Canis lupus familiaris: one gene and its partners. The protein of the gene in region 1 interacts with the protein of each later gene in a pairwise test. Links are inferred from orthologs where the notes say so. Each region holds a gene or a part of one and is shown in the gene's direction. Other genes may lie near its edges.

What was found.
Region 2: the proteins of VASP (region 1) and ABI2 interact in binary tests that used the Homo sapiens proteins (3 or more experiments, as listed by UniProt). The link is inferred for Canis lupus familiaris from reciprocal best matches to the Homo sapiens genes VASP and ABI2.
Region 3: the proteins of VASP (region 1) and TRIM9 interact in binary tests that used the Homo sapiens proteins (3 or more experiments, as listed by UniProt). The two-hybrid records come from large-scale screens. The link is inferred for Canis lupus familiaris from reciprocal best matches to the Homo sapiens genes VASP and TRIM9.

The regions. Positions count from the first base shown.
Region 1 is NC_049222.1:110,772,220-110,775,965, reverse strand, and holds the start of VASP (vasodilator-stimulated phosphoprotein), read left to right. Parts: upstream 1-1,219; 5' UTR 1,220-1,264; coding exon 1,265-1,269; intron 1,270-3,746. UniProt on the Homo sapiens protein: Ena/VASP proteins are actin-associated proteins involved in a range of processes dependent on cytoskeleton remodeling and cell polarity such as axon guidance, lamellipodial and filopodial dynamics, platelet activation and cell migration.
Region 2 is NC_049258.1:12,103,406-12,107,051, forward strand, and holds part of ABI2 (abl interactor 2), read left to right. Parts: intron 1-156; coding exon 157-303; intron 304-1,070; coding exon 1,071-1,195; intron 1,196-2,223; coding exon 2,224-2,406; intron 2,407-3,646. UniProt on the Homo sapiens protein: Regulator of actin cytoskeleton dynamics underlying cell motility and adhesion. Functions as a component of the WAVE complex, which activates actin nucleating machinery Arp2/3 to drive lamellipodia formation.
Region 3 is NC_049229.1:27,693,838-27,697,583, reverse strand, and holds the start of TRIM9 (E3 ubiquitin-protein ligase TRIM9), read left to right. Parts: upstream 1-1,197; 5' UTR 1,198-1,383; coding exon 1,384-2,205; intron 2,206-3,746. UniProt on the Homo sapiens protein: E3 ubiquitin-protein ligase which ubiquitinates itself in cooperation with an E2 enzyme UBE2D2/UBC4 and serves as a targeting signal for proteasomal degradation.

The DNA.
Region 1 (3,746 bases):
CCTGACCCGGGCCAGGTGGCGCTCTGCGGGAGGGGAGTGGCCACCAGTGGAGTCACATGGGGCGGGGCCTGCGGGACCCGCTGCGGAAGCTTGGGAGGGTGTTTGGGCCTCAGACCCAAGCTACTGCGTGGGGGAGGGGGTTCCTAGGAGCCAGCACCAGGTGGGTGGGTGCCCCTGCCTCCGCGCCCTCCTATTGCTGGATGATCCCGCCATCCTCTGCGGGCGAAACTGAGTCACGGCGGGGGTGCGTGGGGAGAGGTTCCAGGGGTTTTAACCACACAGGAACCTGGAGTCCCATCCGCACCCAGGGGCAGCGCCGCACCCTCACCCCTGCCCCCGCCCCCACCCCCACCCCCACCCCCAGGCAGTGAGTCAGCGGCCGGCCGCGCCCCCTCGGCCCACTTCCTCCTCACCTTCCTGGGGCGGGCGGGGGGCGGCGAGAGGGATGGGGCCCTCCCCGCCCACCCCCCCCTGTGCTGGGGAAAGGGGTTCATCCCTTAGTCACCTTTCATATATTAGCAGAGAAGAGAGACGCTGGGGGTAGCATTTAAGGTATCATTTAAGGGGGAAAATTTGAGAGAATCTATGCTTAACCAGAGGATCGTCTTCGCGCCCACCCCCCAAATTGAGCAGAACGTGAAGAAATGGAGAAGTCGTTGGGGAGGGTGAGCAGGAATTGTCCCCATTAAGATCCTCCTAAGAATTTCCATCGTAGGAGCGAATGAGCGATCAGGAAGGATCCCTTGCCCTCCACCAGACCTACCCCCTAATTTGGGGGTGACCCTCAGCGTGCATCCCCATTTCTCTAACGTTGGGGAAGAGGTAAATAGCGGAAGTGTAGGGTTCCGCGTTGCCCTTTTAAGCGCCCTTCACCCCCCCCACCGCCTAGAGGTGTCCGCGGCCCCTTTAAGGCGCAGGGCATTGTGGGTGCGGGGAGTGGAATTTTGGAACGAAATGTAGCGAAGAGAAGTACAGTAGTAAGAGTAACATTGTACCCGCCGCCGGCCGAGGGGGCGCGCCGGGGACGGGACGCCGCACCCCCTTTCTGCCGCAGGGACCCCCGATCAAACCTCCAGAGGGAGGAGGCGCCTGAGGACCCGCCCCGGCCCCGTCCACGTTCCCCCCCAGGAAGCCGGACTCTATGGGGCGGGACCCTGGGGGAGACTGAGCAGAACCTGGAGCCAGCCCCGAACCCCTGAACCTTGAGCCAGGGGCGCCCCGGGAGCACCCACCCGTGGGTGCGCCGCCCTCCCGCTGAGCAGCCATGAGGTGAGCCTCGAACTGCCTCCAAACCCTTCCGCGCTCCGCGCGGGCTCCCCGCCCCGCCTTTGTCCCCCTCCCCCAGCTGGAATTTGGGGACAGGGCACTGGGGGCCTCGGATTTGAGGCCGAGCCCCCTTGGACGAGTTCCAAATACTGACCGCTTCGCCATGACTCCTAAGGCTCGGGTGGTGCCTCAGAGGTTCTCTCGGAAGCCCTCAGATTTGGGGGCGCCCCGAGGACTCCCGAATTTCTTAAAGACTTTTTCAGAGAACCTCCAAGTTGCCAGATCCTGCCAGCATGGAGGCCAGAATTAAGGCAGGGCTCAGACTACCCCCCCAAAAATCTCAACTCGGGCTCCGGGAGGGATTGAGGGGACCGGGTTGGGGGTTCCTGGGACCTGGAAGAGAGATTCGGGACGTAGACCTTGGTTTGCCGGGTCTGCTTTTACGTGGCGCTGGAAAAAGCCTTCCCAAGTGGGACCTCGCTTCTTAACTTCGGGGGCACTTAACCCCTTAAATTTCGGGGGGCTCTCGTCCTCCGGTGGAGGTGAGTGCAGACGAACCCACGGACCCGGACAGCCTCGAGGGTCTGGTTGGGACTCCCCTCCCCCGCCGCTCCCCACCCACCTTCTGTTTAAAACAAGCGGTGCCTAGGACGGAGCTCCAGGGCTCGGCGCGGAGGGCGGCTCCCCGGCCCGGGGCCAGGAGGGCGGCCCCGCGCCCCCACCTGTGCGTCCTGGGGAGGGAGGGGGCGCGGCAGCTGCGGGAAGAGGGGCCTTTGTCTTCCTGACTCACCTGTCGAGACAGCTGGTGTTGGGGGGGCGGGCAAGGAGTGCAGTGGGCCGGCTGCTTTCCCCACCACGCGCCGCCCCTTGCTCTCACCACCGCCCCCCTACCCGGCCCTCCAGAGCCGTGGGGTGGGGGGGGGGGCGCTGTAAAAAGCTTCAAGGTCATAGCCCTCTCCCCCTGGGACCCAGGCTCCCAAGACAGTCCCAGACACCTTCCCAGGAATTTAATCCTGGGGTTGGGGGGCCCAGAGGACCCAGGGATTTTTGTCTTACCGGGTCGGACCTCAGAACTCCTGGGCTCACCTGAGGGCGGGGCCGGGGCGGGCTGGGAGACCGGAGTAGACCCTCCCCCACTCTCCCCTCCCCCTGGCCCCCCATAATCTCTCCCTTGGGGCCCGAGCCTGACAATACTATCTCCCTTCCTCCACTCTCTCAGGGACTTCCTGCCCCCAAAGCCCCCAGCTTGAGGGGGAGGCCCCCCGAGGAGGACTGGGGATTAACCCCCTGGTGCCCACATCCTCCCACTACCCCCACACGCCCCTGCCCTCTGACATCAAGAGTCGCATTGCCCTTTAGGACCATTAGAGACCCCCTCCGCCTGTGTTCCTTCTGATGTGAAAGTGTTGGAGCATTTTGGAGTGAGGGGGCACCCACGGACACCCACCCTCGAGGTCTCCCGCCTACCTACCCCCCATTATAGCCACATCCCTCCGAGGCCTGCCCCGGAGAGGGGGCATTTTGGGGGGAGCCAGGCTCTCTTCCCTCACCCTCTTCCCAGGGGACCCTCCTCTCCCACGGCTGCCCCCCCGCCCCGCCCCCCGCCCCCCCTCGCGTTTCCGGTCCCAGGCACCGTGGAAGGCGGATGGCGGATGTCCGAGTTAGTGCTGCCTCACTCACTGTGAGACCGTAAAAGGGCAGGAGCAGTGTCTGGGCCGGCCTCCCGCCCCCCCTCCCCCAGGCCCGGAGGCCTTCGCCCTCCCACAGGGTCCCCCTACTGTTGGCCGCGGCCAAAGCTCCCACCTCCTGGGGGGTGGGGGGGCGGTGGGCAGGGGTTGAACTGCTGGGCCTCCCACCGGAGGGTCACTCGCACCTCCCCAGGGGGTCTTCCCTGCTGATGGCCACGCCCAACTCGCTGCGCCCCCTCTTCCAGGACCTCTAGGATTCCAAAAGACCCCTGCCCCTGCATGAGGGCAGCCAGGGAAACTGAGGCTCGCCCTAGATCCCTCAGGCAGTGTTGAGGGAGGGGAGGGGACTGGGATCCTGCGACTTGACTTCTGTCTGCTTTGGCTGGGCGAAGAGAGGATGTTAAAATGGAAAGTTACAAGATATAGTTCTTTTTCTCCCAGTTTGACAAATATTTGTTAAGTGTCTGCTGTGTGCGAGACTCAGCTGGGATTCTGGGAAGGCTCAGAGAGGGGGCAGAGGTCTGAGAATCTCAGGGCAGAGGGCTGCAAGCGGTATTTAGGTCCATTTCTTTCCTCTTCCAGGAATGGTAATTATTATTACCTTACAAAGTTGTTGTTTTTTAAATAATAATAAGAGACCATCTGATCAAACATGTGCTCTGTGCCAGGCACTGTATTATTCTGACTGCCCCACCTCCATGGGTCAACTGAGACACAGAAAAATTAAGCAAATAACCTATTCAAGTCAGTTTGGAAGTAGGCAGCTCTAGATTTGAATTTAGGGCAGTCTCC
Region 2 (3,646 bases), on another chromosome or scaffold:
AAGCGATACTTAAGGAAAAACTGAAATTGGTAGCTGGGTTATGTTAAAACATTTTCCTATCTCTGAATACAAATTGTATTTCACTACTGGCAACTCTTTGAATTTATTGTGCCGAAATTTGCTAATCACACAATACATACGCTCTTCTTTTTGTAGGCGGCACTCCCCCTATCGCACACTGGAGCCAGTGCGTCCTCCAGTGGTACCAAATGATTACGTACCTAGCCCAACCCGTAATATGGCTCCCTCGCAGCAGAGCCCTGTGAGGACAGCTTCTGTGAATCAAAGAAATCGAACTTACAGGTATTTTCTCTACCTCAGTGCAAAATGTGATGGTCATAGTACCATAATTTGTTCAGATTACTTCAGTTAAATCTCTCTCATTTTCCAAGCACTAAGTTCTTTTCCTCACTCTACTCTCCCAAACCTCATCTGATTCTGCCTCTCTCTCCTCATGTTCTGATGCAGCTTTGAGGTCAGGAAGTTGGAAAAAAAATAATAAACCCAGAAAAAACAGACATCTTAAAAATACAAACTTCTCTAAAAAATTAATAGTTGTAGTTGACCTGAAAGAAAGTTATGGACCAGATGTGGGGAAAAAAGTTATGGATTAGATGTGGGAAATTGCAAGTTGTTTTTTGGTGGAACTTTACAGATGAAAAACTATACATGGTAAAACATTAATATGAAATGGTACACCAAGATATCATAAATAAAATTAATCAAATAACCTGTTTAGGAAAACTGTGTTTTTTATTATAAAACAAGTTTCTTCAGGCAGTAAAAGTAATACTATTTTTGTGTGTTGAGTCCTGTCACTTACCACTTATATTTCTACAGAATTTTTCCTTCTTTCTCAATTTCACTTTCTTTAATAGATGCTTATTAAAAGGTAGTCAGAATGAATTTCTTGAACTCATGTTTTTTTCCTGTTTTACTCAGAAATTAATACATGAAATGGAGGGCTTTTGAATAATCTTTGTTTAGCTATATTCATTTCAGAAAATTTTGGGAAGTGCTGGTGGTATCTTATATAAATACTCATGTTTTGGTGGCTCTTATTTCTTTAGCAGCAGTGGGAGTAGTGGAGGAAGTCACCCAAGTAGTCGGAGCAGCAGTCGGGAGAACAGTGGAAGTGGGAGTGTGGGTGTTCCCATTGCTGTTCCTACTCCCTCTCCTCCCAGTGTCTTTCCAGGTAAAACATGAATGGTGCCTCATCTTTACTTGTCTTTTTTGAATTTGAATTCAATTTCCAATTTAATAATGATGGGCTTTCTTCATAATGAAGATTTTTTTTCCTTTAGGACTCCATAAATGTTGGGAAATCTTTATGCATTTGTTATTTTTAACCAAGTGATTTCTGAATTTATGCTCACATACCTCTGTTATTTGGCTTTGTCTTTGGTGCAGTGGCTCAGTTGGTGCTTTGAGGTTTCAGGTACCTCCTGGGTATGAGTTATATGTTTAACTCCAGCGTTATGACATTGCGTGCATTTGGACACAGTGTGAGAATCACATAGGTAAAAAAAGGACTGGACAAATTTAAAAGTAGTTTTGGCAGTTAAATTTAGTGGACTCTTGGAACTTAATACTCTGAAATGCTACCTTTTTTTTTCTGAAACAGAAAAATGTGCTTATTTAATTTATTTATTCATCAAAGTTGAACTTTAGTTTTAAAAGTGTGACACAAAAGACCTAGGGATAGACTTTTTTGTATTTAATTTACTTATACCAAATAGATAATAATTTTTTTATAATAATATTTTTAAAATCATGAAAAAGATTTTTCTGATTTTTTTTTACCTAATGTTTTTGTCTAGAATATGTTTATTTTCTGATTTTTGTGTTTCAAAATGGAATACTGTTTCCTAATGTATTATGTTTAGTTTTGTATACTGTTTACAAAATACTATGCTAAAAATTATAATATAAAAGGTACAATACAGTAGAAAAGTTACTTTTCTTAGAGTAGTGGCTTTCAGGTAAAACGGAATGCTGTTTTTAATGAATTAAAAAATCTGTACATTGCCCTGAGCATTTTGAATTATTTGCTGCAAACCTAATTATCCTTTAATATAAGCTTCATTTTTTTCCCTATTCTCTTCTTTTCTTTGGTTAGTGTTAAGCGCTGAATATTTAACATTAGGTTCTCTAATGCTTTTTCTAATCCTGCCTAATGGGTCTGCCTCATTAATGCCGCCTCTTACTCCTCTTTCCCCTCAGCCCCCGCTGGCTCTGCTGGTACTCCTCCCCTTCCTGCTACTTCTGCATCTGCCCCTGCCCCTCTTGTTCCTGCTACTGTCCCTTCCTCCACTGCCCCAGACGCTGCTGCTGGGGGGGCCCAGACCCTTGCTGATGGCTTCACTTCTCCAACTCCCCCTGTTGTTTCTTCCACTCCCCCTACAGGTGAGTATGGCTTGTTCTTTGGCAGGCACATCCAGTCATCTGGCTCTTTTATCTGGAACTCTGGCTTTATGACTTTTGTTTGTGCTGTGTGTGTGTATAAAATCTGAAGAATAACAGACTAACTAGAAAATGGCATGTGACCAAGAATAGAATTTCCTGAGGAAATCAGGGTAAAGTTCACATGCTTTTTTCCAGTAGAGTAACACAAATACACATTTTTTTAATGCTTGAATTTCATTTATTGGAGTTCTGTGAATTTAATATGGAGCCATCTTCTTACAGTTTTGAGACGTTGTTGTTAGAAATATTGTTACAGATTAAGACTTTAACAGAGAAAAGTCTATGGAAATAATATGGAAATAATTATAAGGTATATTTTATAGGAAATATCTGATAAAACAGTTTAGAAGTCTCTATTATAGCAGCACTGAAAACATATGGACAATGGACTTTTTAAAAAGATTTTATTTATTCATGAGAGACACACAGAGAGAGGCAAATACATAGGCAGAGGGAGAAATAGGCTCCCTTTGGGGAGCCTGATGCAGGACTTGATCCCAGGACACTGGGATCACGCCCTGAGCTGAAGGCAGGTGCTCAACCACTGAGCCACCCAGGCGTCCCTAGATAATGGACTTTTAAAGAATTTCATGTTTAGTTAAATGTTACTTAAGGTTAACTGGTGTTTCAGTGTTTTAAAATAGCAACCTAAAATCCGTTTTGATGGGGAGGGGGAAGAAGATTCAGTTGCTACAAAATGTATTTGCAAAGTTAATAGTGATGCTGGTTAGTAAACAAATTCTTTATCTATTAACAAAAATGTGTATGTTTGGACACACATCACCTTAGCTTGCCAAATATTTCATAGATTACATATTTAGCTCTGCAGCTATAACCAGATGTTTAAATGTGTTAAAGGATACTTTTAGCTAAAATGGATTTTGGATGGTGTTTTATGGGATAGTGTCTGTAATAGCACTTTAATATTTTTTTTGTTTTTATTTCTTTATGAGAGAGTGAGAGCACGAGTGGGATGAGAGGCAGAGGCAGAAGCAGACTCTCTTGCTGAACAGGGAGCCCTGACATGGGACTGGATGCCGGAGTCAGGACTCTGGATCATGACTCGAGCTGAAGGCAGATCCTGAACTGACTGAGCCACCCAGGCACCCCGTGATAGCTTTTTAAGAAAAGCTTTCCATGTAAATGTAAACATGGGCTATTCTTTGATCTACACATATAT
Region 3 (3,746 bases), on another chromosome or scaffold:
TGGGGATAGGGAGAAGGGTGCTTAATATATGAGGACTACCCCTAGATCTAGCCCCCATCCCCCTACTTGCACCCCTCCACGAGGACCCCCGTGCACTTCAAAGGAGGAAACAGAAAGAACCCACCATTCTGAAGCTGTGATAAATGCTCAGGCCACGTGACACTGTATAATGCTGTTTGGATTCAAACACTGAGACTCCGCAGTGACACAGTGATTCGTCTGCAGCTAGTTACTGAACTGTAGGCGCTGAGCAATAGGCAACCCTGCCTGACCTGCCTCAAACCTTGCGAAAGCTCGGCCAGGTGCGAGAGCCCCGTGACAGCACCGCTTTGGGAGGCAGGGAGGGTGAAGAGGGGAGACAGGCACGTTCACACCGTTAGGTTCACACCACGCCCGGAGAAGCCTCTGGGCCGAGCCTGATTTTTAAGCGGGAAATGAAGAGTTAGAGATTTTTTTTTTAGCTACCATACTGAGCCTTTATTTACATCGGTCACCTAGCTGCAATCTCATGGCAACACTAAGAAATCGGTATTCTTAATTCCCCTCTTAGACCTCAGGCAGTGAGGGTGAAAGGAGCAAAGAGGCCCTTCCTGGGGGCTTTTCCGCCCGGGGCTGCAGGCTCCCGGGATGGGGAGCGCCGGGGCCGGGCGGTACAAAACCCCGGGCCCGGGGGAGGCTCGGGCCCAGGCAGGCTGCGGGCAGCGGAAGGGAAGGAGGGGTCTGGCGGGCGCGCGGCCCTCGCCCGCGGTACAGGTCGGCGCGGGGACCAGGGCTGGAAGCCAAACGCAGACGGTTGGCGAGCAGCCCCGGCCCCCTCCGTGGGCCTGCTCGCTGCGGGGAGGGCTTTCTCACGCCCCCTGCTCTTGGGAGACGGCGCCGGAGGTCGGAAGGAAGCGGGGCGAGGGATGAGTCATCCCGCCTAATTCCTCCTTCCCGGTCCCTCGCCTCCGCACGCCGCCCCCTCCCGAGATCCTGCAGCCGGGAGCGGAGACGCTCCTCCTTAGCGTCGGCTACCAAAGCCCCCGTGGCCTGCGGAAGAGAGGAGAGGGACGGGGCGCGCGGCCAATCAGAGCCTCGCCCTCTCGCCGCCAGCCAATGGGCCGCGGCTTACGGGGCAGGGCGGGACCAGAGGGGGGCGGTCCGCGGCTGGCGCGCCGCGTCGCGGGTCCGCGGCTGAGAGAGAGAGAGCGGCTCGCGGGGAGAGCGCCTGGCGGGGATCGGCGCCTGATCGACGCGGGAAGGCGCAGCCGCCGCCGCCGCCGCCGCCGCCGCCGCCGCCGCCGCCGCCGCTGGCCAAGGTGCTGGAGACGACAGGCCGGTCGGCCGCCTCGCCCGCTCAGGCACCGTTGCAGCCGCCGCTGCTTCGCTCCCAGCCCGGTCCTCATGGAAGAGATGGAAGAAGAGTTAAAATGCCCCGTGTGCGGCTCCTTCTATCGGGAGCCCATCATCTTGCCCTGCTCTCACAATTTATGTCAAGCGTGCGCCCGCAACATCCTGGTGCAGACCCCGGAGTCTGAATCCCCCCAGAGCCGCAGGGCCTCGGGCTCCGGGGTCTCCGACTATGACTATCTGGACCTGGACAAGATGAGCCTGTACAGCGAGGCGGACAGCGGCTATGGCTCCTACGGGGGTTTCGCCAGTGCCCCCACTACTCCGTGCCAGAAGTCCCCCAATGGCGTCCGCGTGTTCCCCCCGGCTATGCCGCCACCGGCCACCCACCTGTCACCGGCCTTGGCCCCGGTGCCCCGCAACTCCTGTATCACCTGCCCCCAGTGCCACCGCAGCCTCATACTGGATGACCGGGGGCTCCGCGGCTTCCCCAAGAACCGCGTCCTGGAAGGGGTAATTGACCGCTACCAGCAGAGCAAAGCCGCAGCCCTCAAGTGCCAGCTCTGCGAGAAGGCGCCCAAGGAGGCCACTGTCATGTGCGAACAGTGCGATGTCTTCTACTGTGATCCGTGCCGCCTGCGCTGCCACCCTCCCCGAGGGCCCCTAGCCAAACACCGTCTGGTGCCCCCGGCCCAGGGCCGCGTGAGCCGGCGGCTGAGCCCGCGCAAGGTCTCCACCTGCACAGACCACGAGCTGGAGAATCACAGCATGTACTGCGTGCAGTGCAAGATGCCCGTGTGTTACCAGTGCTTGGAGGAGGGCAAACATTCCAGCCACGAAGTCAAAGCTCTGGGGGCCATGTGGAAACTGCACAAGGTGAGTCCTACGAAAACCCACCCCTGACTCCCCGCGCCCCCGATCCTCCGGCTTTGCAGCAGAAGGTCCCCTTTCTGCGCACCGTGCATCCCAGCGGGGGCGCAATGCAGGTTCTCCTGTATCTGCTTCCCCCGTCTGGTGCACTGCAGAAGCGCAGGAGGACCTGAAACCGAGCGCAGGGGAGTTGAATATCCCCGGAGAGTTGTTGCGGGGACGCCTTAGAACGGGTCTCCCGGGTGCCCTCTCTGCCGCGGAGGCGCAGCCTGCGGCCGCCGCCAACGAGCCCGAAAGCGCTGCGTAACTGGGCAGAGGCGCGCCGCGCGGGGGGGGCTGCCAGGAGAGCTCCGGGGCAGATCCGGCTGCGGTCCTCGGAGACCAAGTGGGGGCGGTGGGGAGGCTCAGAACAGCCAAGGCTGGAGCTGCGGGATTGGCGGGCTCTGGGATTCGCGGCGGGGGCGGGGAGAACTCCGCGGGTGGAATACTGATGAGTCCTCGCTGGAGCAGATGCAGGACCGGGTGTTTTGCCCCAGGAGACCCGGGAGTGGTGTGGCGCGGGGGCGGCGGGGTGGGGGTCGAATCCTGTGGTCGCCACGGCAACAAAGCTGCGGGTCCTGACCGCCCCTGGAGCTAGGGACCTGCGGCTGAAGTAGCGGGACCAGAGGTCTCTGCGTCTAGGCCTGAAAGCTAGGCAGATGCGTAACCCAGGGTAACCCCATCCTCCCAACCACCACACAGGCATTTTGTCCAGGAGTCAACCCTTTCCCCCTTTCAGTAGTCGTCTTTGCAAGCTTTGAGGCACCTGTTACCACCAGACTTACCTTTCTTGTCTCTTTGGACGGTGCCCCCACCAAAGCTAGCTTCAAGAAGGGTCCTTTAACAACGTTTAGGTTTAGGTATGCCACTTCTCTGCTCAAAACCCTCCAATCGTCCCCCACATTTCTTAGAGAGTCCCTAGAATGGTCCACCAGGACCTGCTTGACCTGTTCACATTTGGCCTCATGGACCTCATTTCCTCCCCAGCTACACTGTCCCTCAAAGAACATCAGACAGCTTCGGGCCCCGGACCTTTGCGTTTGATGTTCCTTCAGCCTGGGACAGTCTTACCCAAAACCCTATCTTCCAACGGCTCACTCTCTTGCTTCCTTCAGATTGTTGCTCAGATGTTACCTTTGCAGTGAAACCCTTCTAAATACAGTTGCTGCCACTAGCCTCAGACACTGCTAGCTGGCATGCTATATATTTTCACTGTTACTTTCGTATTTATCTATTGCTTCCTTCTGCACACACGAGAAAGTAAGCTTTGTGAGGAAAAAGATGTTTATAATAATGTTAAGCCACCCTGCTTAGAAAGAAGGAGATGTGTATAAATTTCACTTTTAATTTTTAAATAATTTGCTTGGTTGGGATGCAAAGGGTAGGGCAGGAGTTCGGGATTATTGTAGGGAGATTTTCATATCATTGAGCTGCAAGCCCAAGGATCAGGCAGGGGAGTAAAGATGGTGTCCAGGCCTCAACTATGTCCCACTCAGGGTTTCCTAGCA